Linked DNA regions of Caenorhabditis elegans. The protein of the gene in region 4 purifies or fractionates together with the protein of the main gene of each other region. This does not show direct contact. Each region holds a gene or a part of one and is shown on either strand. Other genes may lie near its edges. The genes, in order: sap-140, snr-7, rsp-3 and ddx-15.

Region 1 (5,743 bases), 1.9 Mb from region 4:
AAATTTTGTGGAAAACCGAACCAGGTGGACTAGAGTTGATTTAATGGTTGAATGGATTTGGAGAGAGTAAATCCGGAAATGATGGGAATGACTTTTGGTCATTTTCCAGTGACCATGTAGAAAATTAAACAACTAAAGATGTGTGTATTTTAGAAGTTGATCAGCACTAATGTAAAAAGCGAAATCATATCTAAACTGAAAACATCGAAGATCTTATCCGAGATCATCTCGGAACGGAAGAAAATTGACAAAAAACTCAACTCCTCTCTGACTGCGAACTTCTCAAGAAACATTCATTCGTTACGGGGGATTACACAAAGTATGGAGGGCACCCACCTCTCACGACCCCTTTTCTTCTCCTCATTTTCAATTTCTCAAAGACACGTCAAAAACTTTGTGCAGAAAAATGAATGTCATCACTACCGCCAACCGCCCATCAACAATCTTTCCGTTTTTTCTTCTTTTGAAGAAGAAGATAGATAAGGGAAATGAAGCTCTGCAGATTAGATCTTGTTTTTTAAATGCAACCAGCCAACACATGTGAAAAGATTATTTAGTGGAAAAATGATAATTTTGTAAAAAACAATGAAAGGAAAGTTATTCAATTCAACGATAACGTCTATCCCGATCCCGGTCTCTGTCACGGTCCCGTCTGTCCCGGTCACGATCTCTATCTCGGTCTCTGGAACGATCCCTTGATCGATCACGGCGGCTCCTATCTCTGTCACGGTCACGAGAACGCGAACGACTTCTGAAAATAAAAGATACGATAACACGATAAATTAGTATTCCATACCTTTTCCTCTCTTTATCACGCTTCTTTTCTTTCTTTTCGCTCTTTCTTTCACTTTTCTCATCACTCTTTTTAGATTCTCCACTTCGCAATGCTTTCTCGACTTTTTCCATTTCACACCTTCTAAACTCGTCAACTTTTCTCTTGGCATCAGGATCTCTGTCAGCTTCTAAATCATCCAGCATGGCGATGGCACGAACTTCAACGTCTCGTATCAACTTTCTTCGTTTTTCATCAGAAGGTGTGAGCACGGTAAATGAAGATTCTTTGTCCTTGATTTCTCCTGGAGAAAGACTATCTCGTTGTAGATTCTCTGAAGTCGTGTCGTCTGTAATCATGACTCCATCGATGTCTTCATCCTCTTCTTCATTCGACTTTCGGCCGTCGTGGTCCCATTTTGAAGAAAATATAGGGGAGCCATCACGTTTTCGAGACTGAAATTAATTGAGTAGTAACAGCAGAAAAATTATTAGTAGCATTTCTTAGAATTAAACTAAAATGGAACTTAATGTAAAAAGTCATCAATAATTACGGTGTGATTCTTGAACTAACCTCAACAGGTTTGAATTTACTTGCAGTTGAATAAGTAGACGTTGATGGTTTTACTTCTTCGTGTAATGGTATACCGTCGATGCCATCATCATCGTAAAGAGACTCGTTCATATTTTGAACTGATTTTTCTTCTTCGAGAGGTACTCCATCTAAGTCTTCTTCGTCTTCTTCTTCTTCCAGTTTTTGGTTATCCCGTTCTTCCGATTTTTCTTTTCCGATTTCAATGAGTCCCAGGAATACATTTTGATTATGAATCAGTTTATCTGTAGGATATACAGCCATTTCCTCAAAATTTCGGAAAACACACATCACGCGCTGCTTGAATTGCTCTTGTTTGATGCGAGACGGTATCGCCCGATATGCTTTCCCGACAGCAACGAAAATTTTCTCCAGAAGAGCTTCGAAGTGAGAACGATAGAGAAAAACGTCCCGAACATTACGTTGTACACAATTCGATAGAATGTCGTTGATGAGGTAGAGCCTGAATTAATTAAATATTATATCAGCACAACTATGGAAGTTAACTTGAAGTTGAGCAGATAAACGCTCAATTAAAATCTTAGCTTCATATTTTTGGAGTTAATTTTGAAATAAAAAATATAATCCCGAATTAAACGAATTACATGTGTGTTTTTGCAGACTTTTTTAAAAGTGAAAAGTCAATTACCTCGAAATTTTCTTATAAAGTGGGATATCCTCAATGGTCAGACTATCATATACACACTCGCAAATCTCAGCTGCATATTTTGCATTTTGTATACACCAAACCATCGTAGCGGCTATCGACGTCTTCTCAGGGGTCAGCTCTCGAATCAATGTCTCCAGTTTATCACGTCGTTTATCAGACATTCGATTATTCCTCTTTTTCTCATTCTTCTCTCTTCGTTTCCGTTCTTTTTCCTCTTCCCTGCGCATTTTTCGTTCTTCCTTTTCAGCATCCGAGTTCCGACGATTCTTTGAGCTCTCACCTCCTCTTCGTTGACCTCCGTCACGTACTTTCATCCATTTATCCGGATAGGTTCTAAGGCAATTCATATGATACAGTTCTTTTGGCATTGCATCTCTTAACTCATTGATGGGATACGGTGGAATCCACCATGACCCATTTTCGAACATTCGAAATGGAGTGCGCCGCCATTCTTCAATAGTGTCTCCTTGAAGCAACGAATAAATTCTCCATCGATAGTAAACGTGAAGAGCACTGGTATTATCCCAAAGAAATTGGAACATTGGATTTTGAAACTCTTCTGCACATATCATAGCTTCAAACTGAGGTCCTTCGGTTACAACGTAAACGGCCATTCGATCCATTACTCTGACCAGCTTCCTGTCCGGGGGGACAACAACTCTAATTTGTGAATTCCGTATCAGTTCTGTGAAATCCTCATACCCATATTGTCCTTTTGTTGGCAATGCATGCATCGGTGGAAATGTATTGTACTTTTCTAGAAACTTTTTGGCATCAGCACAATCCGGTTGTGCATTGAAGGGTAAATTTGAAGTTGGATCGGGATGTTGAAGGGCATGAAGTACGGGTGGAATGTAGTAAGGAATAGCAGGAATCTGGACAGGACGAGCAAAAGCGAAACGAATTGGCTCATTCCGAACGATGATTACACGAACTTCAGCCATAAATCTATCCACATCGGCACGAGACATAAATGCTACAAACGCGCAAATATGCGGCCGTCTTCGCTCTTCTTCGCTTCTCGGATACAAAATTTTCAGTGCGGCTAACGGTCCGAACGAACCAAATGTAAATAATAGATCGTCTTCCGTTACTGAATGTGGAATATTAGAGACATATACATTTGTAGTATACGGGTCATCGTCAAACTCCGACGTTCCCTGGAATCCTCTTTCAACTGTTGGAGCCAATCTCTCTACTACAGCTTGATCCATTCCAACTTTTTCCAGATGATGTCGTAAATCTTTCCGTTTTTCTCGATCTTCTTGAACTCTGAAATTTTACGGATATAATTCTTTCGAAATTCTTTTTTAGCAATATACCTCTGCAATTCCATTTTAAACATTTCCATTTGACTGATCTTTGGCTTATCTTGTTTCGCTTTCGAGCTGCCAGGCTTCGGGGGTCTTTGAAACGGCCTCGTAGTTGGCACGACAACTTTCGGCACTTCTGTCATTTTTTTGCTTCGTGCTACGTCTTCCAGCATCCTTCGAGCCTGAATATAGTGTTTCTTATTTCACTAAAAACATCCGTTAAGAAACGAACACATCTCTACCAATTTAAACAATGTGAAGAACTAAGCGCATGAAATTTATTAATTTTACCTTCGCGGCTGCTAATTTTTTCGCTTCATCAAAATCTTTGGATCCAACGTTCGAAGTTTTAGACGGAATGTTCATTGAAAACTTTGGTGCATAGATTCCACCGTCGCCAGCAGCTGAAAATTCAGTTTATATAGTTTTCAAATGGATTTTCTTACAAATCTTATTTCCCTCGACAACATTTCCTCTCAGAAAAGTTTTAGGCTGAGAAGAAACAGACGAAGATTGTCCAAAGTCTGCTTGGAACTCCAACAAAGCATCGTTCAACTTCGCCTCCTCATCGTCAGATGTCTAAACTTTTAAATCGGTATTATTAAAGCTTGTGACACTTAGAAGTTGACAAGGAAACTTACTTTCTTTCTCTTTTTGGACCATTCCATACTCATATTGCGGGGAAATTTCCCGGGAAATAATTTAAAATGTTAGATTTTTCCCAGTAAATGGACCAGGCACTGACAATGCGTCAGCAATTATGATGAAACGCGCCAGCAACCACTTTGGCGTGTTTTCGGATCTCGGCGCGACTTTTAAGTAAGGAAACATTTTATTTTTGAAAAAAGAAAGAACAAAATAATAACGTAATTAATTTCAATTCATGAGTTACACGCAATTTCATATTATTATTAACATTTAACGTTCAAATCATATAATTCATAAATAAAATAACAAACCATTTTTAAATAATTTGCATATAAGAATTATGAGTCTATCTCCTCCGCCGTTATTCAATCTCGATCAAGTTTGTTATCTGTAATGTTTCTGCCTTTATAAATAATTTTAAGGGATCTTGGAGTCCTATTGCTATAAACATGATTTGCCTAGAAGCTTTACAAACTTGGTACCAATCGGTTTATCTTGGATCTGCTTATTTCTGTAAGAAAATAAAAAGTGGAAAAATATAACAACTAAAATTGCAGATATGAAGACAGAGTCGTTCGTGTATCTGTCACTTGTTTACATTCAATTTTCGTTATTTTTTCTAACAAGCATTTTGATAGTTATATATTTTATATCATACAATGGAGTCCAACGTCTCAATGTTATTACGATTACCACAAATGTAACGTTTCTTTTGACTCCTGTTTTCAATTAAGATTTTCAGTTTATAAAAATGGTGGTGGATGTGTCCTGTTTCGGAACAATTTATTTTGTTGGCAGCTCGAAAATATTGCCTATTGTGGATTTGGCGTATTTCAATTGTGTTATCCAACCGTGTCGGTTTCTTATATTCATCGTATACTGCCATCACGGAGCTAGATGTGACGCATATCACAGATTTCTGGTTGAATATGAGGAGTTCGAATTAGAAAAATGAGGAAATCGAAAAACGATAAAGTAATCACATTACTCATTACATTTAGAACTAATTATCCTTTAATAAATTTTCATCGACGCTGGTATATTCTTTTTAATATTTAATTCATTATTATTCTCAAGAAATTTCGCATCAAATCTTCGTAAAGTTTTTCATTGAAATCTAATTTTGAATTACCGCCATTTTGTTTCGCGCGTTGGCTGAGTATTCAACTTTTGTGTGTTGAATGTACGCAGCGAAATGCCTCTCACTCGTCGCTCGCAGCAGCTTGGCCTACTCGTCCCGTCGCTCTCACAGTTTTTCTCTCCACACTCTCGTTTCTTCGCACATTTCCTTCATTTTGGCCGTTGTTCTCCACGTGTTTCTGTGTTTCTTCTCTAGATTTCTAAGAGTTTTAGGCGACGATGGCAGCTCCAATCTGTTATCGACACTTTCTTGATAGATTCAGTCGTTTTCCGAAGATTTTTATCAGTTTCGTAGCTCAGAAACCTGTTTTAAAAAACGATAACAAAAAGTGTTCTTTCAAACTTTCGAATGTAAAATATAAACTTTTTCGCGTTTATTGTTTGGAGAGTCGCTTAAAAACTGGAAGGTATCAATAAAAAATTGTCGTGATTCTCTGACCTTTTGAAATTGTTTCTTGTCAATTGCCACGTCGTCAAACATCGGCTACCCTGTTGGCTAGATACTCCAGCAACCCAAAGAGTGTCTGTGCGTCTCTATGCGCCGCCGACCACTCGCTTGCTTTTTCTAACCGTCATTGATCGTGTGTATACGAGCGCGAGACAGACACC
Region 2 (2,506 bases), on a different chromosome or scaffold from region 4:
TGCCGCGTTTTGAAAATTGATATTTCAACTCTTCGACGGCTGCAGCCACAAGAGTACGGAAAGATGAGAAAGCACATCTCGTACAGCTTTCGGATGATGATAGGCGTGTGTGTGGAACATTTTTCTGTTTTGAAAGAAGAAAATAGGTCGGCAGAAAAAGAGATAAGAAGTGGGGAAAGAGTATTCTTTTTTGCTGCTGTTGTGCCGAGTAAGAGTAACGAGAAGAATAAAGAGAGAAAAATGTGGAGAGCGTCGTCGACCGCACATAGTGGAAAGAGAAGAGGGATACACAAGTCTCTCCGTGTTTTTGTTACTCTGTTTCGTGCCTCTCTTCAAAATGAACACTATTTCGTTCAATTTGAGCCGTGGAAAAACAAAATGCTGAAAAAAAGCTTTACGATTGATTTTTTTTATGCCTGCAATAATAAAACATAACTTTTGGTACATTTGTTTGTGAATTGATTCTATTTGCGAAGTTCTTATCTATACGAAATTCACGTGAATCAGAGATGAGAAGTGGGTTTTGACCACGTAGTTATCAAAAATTATCAAAAAAAAGGTTCAAAAATTTAATATCAAAATTTGAAAATGAAAACATTGAGAAAGTGACAGGAAATTGTGGAGATCGAAAAATCTAGGAGATTCTCTCCTTGGGCTCCATGATGACGACGGAGTTTCCGCGAATGACAGTCATGCCGAGGTTGACGGATCCTCCGTCCTTTTGGTACTCGACAGCTTCCTGCAATATTAAATTTTAGAATAAATTAGACAAAAACGGAAAAAGAAACATACGTCGATGACCATGTTCATGAATGGATCGAAACCGCGGAGGATTCCAGAGACGCGACGGTTTCCGTTGAGCTTCAAGTCCATCTCCTTGTCCATGTACTTTTTGAGCTCTGGTGGATGTGTCTTACTCATTTTTCTGAAAAATTGAGAATTTGCAGGGGGAAATGAAAATGAAGAATGGAAAAATCATCAAAGAAACAGATTTTACTTAAAATAGAAAATAAAGCTCATTTTTCAACTTCCACCTATCGAAAATTCAGATAATACATTAATTATAACATTTTTTAACTAATTTTTCAAAGAATAAACATGATAATTATCAGGAAAATTGGATGAAAAAGGCTAAAATCGACGAAATTATTTTTCGAAATTCGAATAGTACGCAAACACCACGCTTGGTACACCATAAATGACGACAAGTTGCAGACGCTTGCACACCGTACTCACACAATTCTTATCGGATTTCCGAGCTTTTTCTTTTCGTTTTTCCAATTTTAGATGGTAAAAAAGAAGAGTAACTATCATATTCTCGTCGCACAAAATTTCTTATCAAATATCAGTGTTGATGGAAGCCACAATGACACAAATCTTCGAATTTTCCAAACAAAAGGCCTTCCGAAGGTGAGAATCTTGGTTTTTCAGCGATTTTCGTAACTAATTGATAATTTTTTCAGATATCTCCAACGGAAAAGAAGTTTTCAAACGGCGCAAGCTCCACAACCACCATCCGCAACAATGAATCAGTGATCTCACTCGGAACATCCGCTTCACTCGGAGAACGGCTAAGCTCGTCGAATTTGCCGCAGGAATACGCGGAGACACCACAGAAAAAGTGAAAATTAGTTGAAAATCAATATAATTAATTAATTTTCTCTATTTATAGAACTTCAATCTTCCGAAGAATCGCGAAAATCATGAGCTCCGACGACGTGATCTATTCAATGACCGCCACAAACAGTAGATCTCCGATTCTTGAAGAAGGCGTCGGGAGAGAAGATAGTGGGCTGATTGGTGAGCTGGCGAGCTTATAAAAGCTTACAAAACTTGAAATAAAATAAATTAATTCAAAATTTTCACAGAATTTCGCTCAGAATCACCATCTTGTTCTTCAAATCAGTTCAGTTTTCTGAGAAGGCTCAAAAGCACCATTACCCATGCAGATAGGTGAGTTCAACCATCATAAAATCCTCTAAAATCCCCCACACTAACCGTTCCGTGTTGCGAACTAACCCACATTTTCAGATTTTACATCTGCACCTCGACGAATGGCCAGCCTCTGGCAGTTTTCTCGTATATCTCGCCGAACAGCGACTACGTGGATCCGCTGGCGCCGATTTTCGCCAACACAACCGTCAATAAGAAGAAATTCCGATCGAAATCGATTTTTGGAAGGTTTAGAATTAACATCTCCTCTATAATTTATATCTTCTACCTAATTTTCCCCGAAAACTGGCAATTATCTAACAAAATTTCACAAAAAAAGCGCAGGAATTCAGAAATTTCGGCTATGCGATCTTAAAGGCACATGGGTTTATTCAGCTGTGCATCGACGCGAAAAGACAGCATGTGGTAGTTTTTTTTGTTAAATTTTTCAGTTTTCAGACCGAAAAAAAGGAAAACAACGCAAATTTTCAGCAGAAAGTAAGAAAAAACGCTGCAATTTGCTAAAAATCCGTGCGCCTTTAGGTCAAAATCTTGAAAAAATACGATAAATTCC
Region 3 (3,317 bases), 7.1 Mb from region 4:
TTGGATTTTTCAAAAAAATTGAAAAAAAAACTCCATTTTTTCTGATTTTTGGACATTTTCCGCTTTTTTAAGAATATTTTTCACAAAAATCAATTTTTTGGAGAAAAAACGCATTATTCACTTGAGGGATTTTTCAAAAAAATTGCAAAAAAATTTTTTTTTTTTTTTTTAGTTTTTTCTCAGAATTTTGGACATTTTCCGCTTTTTTAAAGAATATTTTTCACAAAAATCCAAATTTGTGTTCTTTTTTTGGTGAAAAATGCATTAATTGCCCCAAAAAACTCAGATTTAAATTTTTTTTCTTCAAAATTTTGAAGCACTTTTTTTTTTGATATTCCAAAAAATATCTTAGAATTTTGGTAATTTTTCCGCTTTTTATAGGAATTTTTTTACAAAAATATTCTTTTTTTTCTCTTTTTATTCGATTTTCGCGGCAAAATATTCAGAATTTGTGTATTTCCAGTGAAAATTTGCCACAAAATAGCATTTTTCGCATGATTTTTGCAAAAATTGCCAAAAAAAGCGTTATAAACGTCATTTTTTATCTTCTCTCTTCTCGGTGTCATTATTCCATTATTGGATTGACCTCTAGAGCCTTCCCATCGGGCTCATTGACCTCCAGACCGCGATTTTCCCGCGTTTTTGGCTCCGCCTTTTGATCTACCACTGGAAGTGGGCTCAGACTGTCTTAGTAATTTATTCCAACATTATTTCCTTTCTATTATCGTTTTTTTCCCTTTTCCCTTACCCCTTCCCCACAAAAAGACGATGCAAAGACTGCTAAAATCCATATGCAAATTCCAGTGATCATTAGCATTTTTCGATTGTATCGATCACCCAAATATCCGAATAATGGCGCGAAAAACATGTAGAACACAATGAAAACTGTCTGAAATTATTCGGTTTTTAATTAATATTCCACAATTTTATTCAATTTTTACTTGCAAAAGGCCTTGCCCCTTATCGTCGATATCGAAAAATGTTGCAAGCCGCGACATAACTCCCACGATTGTGTATCGATCCATGTAGTTTAGCAGGTTTACGAGAAGCAGAATGGAACAAGTAACCCATTTCTTCTTTCCAGCAAGTCGGGAGGCTGAAAAAATCAAGTTTTTCGATTTAAATAATTAAATTTTCGATTAAAAACTCACCAACGTCCAAACCACTGCCTTCCTCAATTTCATTTGGCATTTAGAATTTCTGAAATTTATTATTTTTTCTTATTTTCTAATAAAAAACCGAAAACCACAAAAAATAAAAAAATACGTGACTAAAAATAACGCAGGCGCGCTCCACCGAACTCGTTCAAACTTGGCGGGAGAATGCTCATATGACGCGTTGCGGTCGCGTCGCGGTCGTTATTTTTTCGAAAACGAAGGCCGTGGCACACTCATTTCTTGTTTTTTCAGACAATTTTTATTATTTTTTCGAAGAAATGCTTGAGAATATTCATTTTTCTAAATTTTACTCGATTCTGGGTTTCTTTTCAGTCAAGTAAATGCAGTAATTTGAAGGATTTTAGGCCCAGTATTTTTTTTATTATCAATAATCTTCAGTCGCCGATTTTTTGCAAATAATCATAATTATTTCTTCATTTTCAGTGTACTAAACATGCCACGCGGCGGCTCAGAGGACCAAAAAGTCTACGTTGGCAACCTGCCAGGAGACGTCCGAGAGAAGGAAGTCGAGGACATTTTCCACAAGTATGGCCGCATCAAGTACGTCGATATCAAGTCAGGACGTGGACCGGCGTTCGCTTTCGTCGAGTTCGAAGATCACAGGTTCGTTTATTGATTTCAAATACTTTAATTAATCAATTTTATTCCAGAGATGCCGAGGATGCGGTTCGTGCTCGCGATGGCTACGAATTCGATGGCCGTCGCATTCGCGTCGAGTTCACTCGTGGAGTCGGACCACGTGGCCCAGGCGGTCGCCCACTCCAAGACGGAGGTGATCACCGCGGTGGAGACTTCCGAGGAGGACGTGGTGGTGGTCGTGGAGGTGGACCTCAGAGAAGAACCGGATACCGAGTGATCGTTGAAGGTCTTCCACCAACCGGGTCGTGGCAGGATCTTAAGGATCATATGCGTGATGCTGGAGACGTCTGCTATGCGGATGTGGCTCGAGATGGAACTGGAGTCGTCGAGTTTACTCGTTACGAGGATGTCAAGTACGCTGTTCGCAAGCTTGATGACACCAAGTTCAGATCACATGAGGTGAGTTTTTACTATTTTTGAAACTATAAAATAAATCAAAAATTGAATTAAATTTTTCTTTTTCAGGGTGAAACTGCCTACATTCGCGTTCGTGAGGACAACTCTTCTGGAGGCGGAAGCGGTGGTGGTGGCCGTGATCGTAGCCGTTCGCGCTCTCCAAGAGCCGAACGTCGTGCTTCGCCAAAGTACTCACCTCGTCGTTCTCGTTCCCGCTCTCGCAGCCGTTCCCGCTCTCGTTCTCGCTCGGCCAGTCGCAGTCCATCTCGCTCACCATCTCCACAATAAAGAGACAGCGTCTGATTCTTGAAACGGTATCGTTTTGCAATTTGAGTCGTCTGACAGAGAGTTCTGATACAACTATATCTTGCTAATTTCTTTTTTTTTGTGCTGTTTCTAATACAATTCCATGCCTCATGTTCTCCTGTTTACACACACCTTTTTCTTTTTATCGATCTTTTTGGATATATATATCCACAATTTCTTCTATTTTTTATCACCTATCCTTAATTCAAACAACCACATCCAAGTATTCATCAGCCCCACCTATTATTATTCAATAATTTCTTTTGTTGGAGGAACCACGAATAAAATGTTTTGTTTCAGCCTCCACTCCGCTTCATTCAAACTATTGGAGGAAAGGAGGAGGACTCTATAAGGAGGGAAACTAAAGGATCGCTGGACGATCAAAAGCGGGGACACACCATATCGATCGAGGATCGAATCGGTTTTTACACGATTTTCGAATCGACACACACACACACACACACACACTAGGACCCCCGGAAAAAGGATTTTATGGGAAAAGTTTTGGATTTGCCCCCTGGGTATTGTTAGGAACATAATTTAGTTAAATTTTGACCTGACGAGAGTAAAAAGAAGGAAAAATTTTACAGTTTTGGGTTCGAAAACCCCGAAATCTATTAGGAAAATCCCCTCGAATATGAGAAAAAACTAATCCGCCATGTTCAGGTGAGCCGGTGACCCGCTTCCCGGCTCACAAAAATGAATCAGCCAGGTGAGTTTCGACTTGGAATTTCGAATAAAAATTTTGAATTTTTGACTTGTGTTTTTACTTTTTTAAATTATTATTGAAAACAGAAA
Region 4 (5,109 bases):
AGCAGACATTCCACGGAATAGAACGCTGCAAATGGAAGAAAGGAGACAAAGAGCTTCTTGTCAAAAGATGGAAGGATGGAGATGAAGCTGAGAAGGCTGAAATGTGCAGGCAATTTGGAGGAGAGAAGCGTGTCGAGGAGCTTGTGGAGCGGTTCCTCAATGAGGAATGGCTGGATTCGAACAGCAAACCGTGTCCCAAGTGCTCGGTGAGCATAGAGAAGAATGAAGGATGCCACAAGATGCACTGTACGAAGTGTGACACCTACTTCTGTTGGTTGTGCTCTGAAACTCTTGACAAGGAAGATCCTTATAAGCATTTTCAGGGAGATGTTGGTTTTTTCTTAGAATTGTGTAAGAAATGTATTTTTCATTTTCAGGGATCATGCTCTGGACGTCTGTTCGAAGGAGTTCATCACGATTTGCTAGATAACGATGACGATCTTCTTTTCGATATGGCATTTAACGACGGTAGTGACTATGACAGTGATGAGACCGTCGAGTATCCTGAATCCGACGAAGATATTGATGCGGAGGATTGGTTAGAGCAAGAAGGACATTTTGACGAGCTTTTCTTTAATTAACATAACTTTACGGTTTTCTCTAAATTTACGGATTAATTGTCAAATAAAATGAATAGTTCATCCTTTTAGATTTGGTGATTGATTTAAAAGTGAAAATAGAATTAAAAGAAAGGGGTAAGAAATAAACAAAAAATAAATAGAAACAATCAAAAAATTTGACAAGGGGCAATAGGGATAAAAGAGGTTTGGGGAAATGAGATCAGATGATTCGGAGGCATCAATAGCCTCTGCCAGCGTTTCTCTGCAGGGTCTGCATCACAGTAGTCAGCTTCCGTTTCGTGTCTCCATCTGGGAAGTTGTCGAGATCATAGTATTGAGGGGCGATTTGAAGTAGCCTGAAACGCATATCTAGTTAGGTTTTGAATAATATAATTTGCAAATTAACTCACCATTCAGGGCGCACATCAGTTACAGTTCTGATGAAGTTCTTTGTGGTTAACACGAACTCATTGTAGAGTGCCCACTCCGGCTTATGATCGAGAACTGTGGATGGATGAAGGTTGACGAGCTGATTATCTTTCACCGTCACGTAGTGTCCACTTCGTTCCAGATGAGCGACTTGCATGAAAAATCCAGCTACAAGAGCTTTCCTGATGTTGAGATAATAGTCTCGAGATTTGAAGTCTGTTGAGACACGTCGAAGATTGTACTTGTCCATAACACGCGACAATTGTGTGCGGACTGTGTCGGCAGTTTTCATAGTTCTGTAGTTGATGAAGTTATCGTAACACCACTGCGGATCTTCTTGATCTGAAATATGCGAAACTAATATTTGAAAAAAAGAAAAACAAAGTCAACTTACTCTGCTTGAACGAATGATAGACATTGAGAAGTGTGAGATGATCTCCATCAATATGTGCAAACCGAGCCTTCGCCTCATCGGCTTCTGTTCTCATTTCATTGGGACGAACCCAGCACTGCGGAACCGAGAGCATTGCTGTGATCGACAAAATTTCATTTGAGCAATTGAGTTCAGTGGATGTGATAAGCATCTTTGCGAGCTGAGGATCAAGCGGGAACTCAGCCATCAGACTTCCTAGTTCAGTGAGCTCTCCATCGTCGTTGATCGCCTGAAGATAGTTTAACAGTTCCAGCGCTCTCATCAATGTCTCTGGTGCGGGAGGATCCATGAAATCGAAGTGCACAAGATCTTCGGTTCCGAGCTTCTTGAGCTGCAGCACAACAGATCCGAGATTCGACCGAAGAATTTCAGGATATGTTTGATCTTGCATTTCTGATCCGTAAGCCGTTTCGGTGTAAAGCCGGAAACATTTTCCTGGCTTTGTTCTTCCGGCGCGTCCAGCTCTTTGCATAGCAGAAGCTTTCGAAATGGGACAAACAAGCAGCGACTCGACACGAATTCTTGGATTGTACACTTTTTGCTTCGAGAATCCAGGATCGATAACAAAGACAACGCCATCAATAGTCAATGATGTCTCAGCGATATTTGTAGAGATGACACACTTTCTGCTGATTGCTCCATTCGGTCGATTTGGTGGTGCTGGTTCGAAGATTCTCTGCTGTGCTGCTGGGGGAAGTGTAGAGTACAACGGAATGCAGCTGAGTGCTCCAGCATCTGCTCCCAAGGCTTGAATCTCACGATCTATTCTTTTGCAAGCTTCTTCGATCTCTTCTTGACCAGTGAGGAACAGTAAAATGTCACCTTCAACCTCCTCGACCATATGAATTTGGATTACAGTTCTGATCGCGGCTTCTAGATAATCTTTCTCCGCATTTGGAGTGAAGAAGATCTCAACAGGGAATGTTCTTCCGGGAACACTGAGCAACGGGCAATCCTCGAAATATCTTTGAAACTTTCCTGCATCCAATGTAGCGGACATGATTACGACCTTGATATCAGCTCGATTTCTCACGATTTCCTTGATCAGTCCCATAAGAATATCTGTGGCGAGTGTTCTTTCGTGAGCCTCGTCGAGAATAAGGACTTTGTACTTATCGAGGAGCGGGCTGTTCATTGCTTCTCGCAGCAACATACCGTCTGTACAGTATTTGAGAACAGTTCGTTCGCTGATGCAGTCTTCGAAACGAATACTGTATCCCACTTCTTGTCCCAAAACTACGTCCATTTCCTCAGCAACTCTTGTCGCAACGCTCATCGCAGCGACCCGTCTAGGCTGTGTGCAAGCCACCAATCTCGCTTGACCGGGTGGTTGTCCTTGTTGCTGCTGCTTCATGAACTCGACGGCCCACTGTGGGATTTGCGTGGTCTTTCCGGATCCCGTTTCTCCGACAAGAGTGATGCACTGGTTGTTCCGGAGCAGCTCCATAAACTTTTCCTTATATTCCCATACTGGCAATTGACTTCTTTTCTCCCAAATTGCCCAATATCGGTTACTAAATGGCTGGTTGTTGTATGGATTGATTTGGATCTGTAAATTTGGAGATGAGAAACAAAAATTCGTTTACTAAAAAATACCTTCATATTTCCAACTGCCCCAATCTGTCTTTTCCGGTCGGGGGAGGAGCGTCTGTGTGGCGATCGGGAGCGGGATCGGGATCTGCGGTTAGGAGATCTGAAAATAAATTATTATTATTATATTGAACTGGGGAAGCAACAATTTTACTTACCTTCTTCTGTCTCCGCGTCCGCTGCCATCTAAATCCAATCGGTGTCTCGAAGACATCGCAAGTTTCTCCTTCAATAGGAAAATTAGAGTTTCAAGTGGCTTTATAAAGCGTTATACGAAAATATTAGGTATTTCGAAAAGCTACGCGCAGGATAAATGGATTAAATGTATGACAAATTAAGAAAACTAGTTGAAAAAGGAGAAAATCAGCAAATATAGAGATATTGGGAACAAAAGACAGAATTTCGCAGAATATATTCGGAATAAGTATGGAGCGATTTACGGGTGCGCCTTTAAACTTTCGGTGGGTCTCGAAGCGATTCCGCTGTCTGCGTCTCTGCACTGCTGGGCGGCTTGATGGTTTTAGTTGTTTTCAGCTTCTTTTCGAGTTTCAGATATATTTTTTCAAGTTTTTCAATTTAAAATAATGTTCTCTGAATTTTTATCTATCGATTAATATCCTATTTATATATTTTTATTTTCAGAGAACAGGGGAAAACTTGAGAGAATGGCTCTCAGACTCGCCGTCAGCTCTGCTTTGCGTCCGGCTCTCAATAGCCAGGTAATTTTCTTGTGAGATTGCTAAAAGAGAAATAAAAACTCTTAATTGAAAATAAAATTGAAAGTTGTATGCCCACAGGTCGCATGGAGAACGTAACAACGATGATAATGTAGAAAATCTAATTAAATTAATTAATTTTCAGGTTCGCAATGCTTCATCAGCTGTCTCCGTGAAGGACGTGCTTGCCAGCGCTCCACAAGCTGAAGTTACCACCTTGAAGAATGGCTTCCGTGTTGTCACCGAAGATAATGGATCCGCCACCGCTACCGTAATTTTGCCCACTAGTTTTCTAAAATTTCTTTTGTTTTAAATTGTAGGTGGGAGTCTGGATCGAGACCGGATCTCGTTTTGAGAACGAGAAGAACAACGGTGTCGCACATTTCCTCGAGCGATTGATCCACAAGGGAACTGGAAAGAGAGCATCTGCTGCTCTCGAATCCGAGCTTAATGCTATCGGAGCAAAACTCAACTCGTTCACTGAGCGTGACCAAACCGCAGTTTTTGTCCAAGCTGGAGCTCAAGATGTTGAGAAAGGTAAATATTTGTAACTTATAAAATTGTGTTAATTTTCCAAAATTTTCAGTTGTCGATATCCTCGCCGATGTTCTCCGCAACAGCAAGCTTGAGGCCTCAACCATCGATACCGAAAGAGTTAATCTTCTCAAAGAGCTCGAAGCTTCCGATGACTATCATCAGCTTGTCCTCTTCGATATGCTCCACGCTGCCGGATTCCAAGGCACCCCACTCGCTCTCAGCGTTCTCGGAACCAGTGAGAGCATTCCAGTAAGTATTTATTTGGGTTTACATAAAGTTGATTATTTTTTCAGAATATCTCTGCTCAACAATTGAAGGAGTGGCAAGAGGATCATTACAGACCAGTGCGCATGGTTCTGTCCGCTGTCGGAGGAGGAGTTTCCAATGTTTCAAGCCTCGCCGATAAATATTTCGGAGACTTGAGCAACGAATACCCACGAAAGGTTCCACAGGTCGATGGAACACGATTCACCGGATCTGAATACAGATACCGCAACGATAATGTCCCACACATGTATGCTGCTTTCGCTGTTGAGGTACAAATAATAAATGTGTGTTCAGTCTTTCATTTTACTTCATTTTTAGGGTGTTGGATATGCCCACAAAGATGCTCTCGCTCTTCAAATTGCCAATCAATTCATTGGTAAGTTGGCTTTTGTGTGAATTTTTCAATTCAAACCGTAATTTTGATGAGTTTTAGGCCAATGGGATGTGACCCACGCTACATCCAGAACAGCTGCTTCCAGACTTGTCCAAAAAATCGGACACGACCACGGAGTCCATAACCTCCAGCATTTCAACATCAACTACAAGTAAGTATCTTTTTTTGCAAGCTTATTTAAAT

The links.
Region 1: the proteins of ddx-15 (region 4) and sap-140 fractionate together in Caenorhabditis elegans (co-fractionation; one large-scale study listed by BioGRID). This does not show direct contact.
Region 2: the proteins of ddx-15 (region 4) and snr-7 fractionate together in Caenorhabditis elegans (co-fractionation; one large-scale study listed by BioGRID). This does not show direct contact.
Region 3: the proteins of ddx-15 (region 4) and rsp-3 fractionate together in Caenorhabditis elegans (co-fractionation; one large-scale study listed by BioGRID). This does not show direct contact.

The regions. Positions count from the first base shown.
Region 1 is NC_003281.10:7,498,039-7,503,781, reverse strand, and holds sap-140 (U2 snRNP-associated SURP motif-containing protein), read right to left. Parts: upstream 4,106-5,743; 5' UTR 4,021-4,105; coding exon 3,988-4,020; intron 3,926-3,987; coding exon 3,793-3,925; intron 3,751-3,792; coding exon 3,638-3,750; intron 3,529-3,637; coding exon 3,356-3,528; intron 3,306-3,355; coding exon 2,013-3,305; intron 1,827-2,012; coding exon 1,346-1,826; intron 1,228-1,345; coding exon 797-1,227; intron 752-796; coding exon 607-751; 3' UTR 541-606; downstream 1-540. Other genes in the region: C07H6.9 (Serpentine Receptor, class Z), read left to right, coding at 4,335-4,373, 4,417-4,507, 4,552-4,694, 4,737-4,949.
Region 2 is NC_003279.8:2,725,433-2,727,938, reverse strand, and holds snr-7 (putative small nuclear ribonucleoprotein G), read right to left. Parts: upstream 926-2,506; 5' UTR 922-925; coding exon 793-921; intron 740-792; coding exon 635-739; 3' UTR 557-634; downstream 1-556. Other genes in the region: Y71F9B.6 (Cyclin N-terminal domain-containing protein), read left to right, coding at 1,288-1,410, 1,464-1,621, 1,673-1,800, 1,869-1,953, 2,032-2,181. UniProt on the Caenorhabditis elegans protein: Plays a role in pre-mRNA splicing as a core component of the spliceosomal U1, U2, U4 and U5 small nuclear ribonucleoproteins (snRNPs), the building blocks of the spliceosome.
Region 3 is NC_003281.10:12,686,201-12,689,517, reverse strand, and holds rsp-3 (putative splicing factor, arginine/serine-rich 3), read left to right. Parts: upstream 1-1,601; 5' UTR 1,602-1,611; coding exon 1,612-1,781; intron 1,782-1,828; coding exon 1,829-2,216; intron 2,217-2,282; coding exon 2,283-2,501; 3' UTR 2,502-2,817; downstream 2,818-3,317. Other genes in the region: spin-4 (Major facilitator superfamily (MFS) profile domain-containing protein), read right to left, coding at 749-889, 942-1,096, 1,152-1,191. UniProt on the Caenorhabditis elegans protein: Plays an essential role in embryogenesis.
Region 4 is NC_003281.10:5,588,481-5,593,589, forward strand, and holds ddx-15 (Pre-mRNA-splicing factor ATP-dependent RNA helicase ddx-15), read right to left. Parts: upstream 3,239-5,109; 5' UTR 3,227-3,238; coding exon 3,171-3,226; intron 3,116-3,170; coding exon 3,019-3,115; intron 2,972-3,018; coding exon 1,384-2,971; intron 1,332-1,383; coding exon 971-1,331; intron 930-970; coding exon of another isoform or gene 929-929; exon of another isoform or gene 917-928; coding exon 799-916; 3' UTR 582-798; downstream 1-581. Other genes in the region: F56D2.2 (RBR-type E3 ubiquitin transferase), read left to right, coding at 1-329, 378-581; ucr-1 (Cytochrome b-c1 complex subunit 1, mitochondrial), read left to right, coding at 3,678-3,731, 3,874-3,999, 4,049-4,265, 4,315-4,514, 4,559-4,801, 4,851-4,908, 4,960-5,077. UniProt on the Caenorhabditis elegans protein: Pre-mRNA processing factor involved in disassembly of spliceosomes after the release of mature mRNA.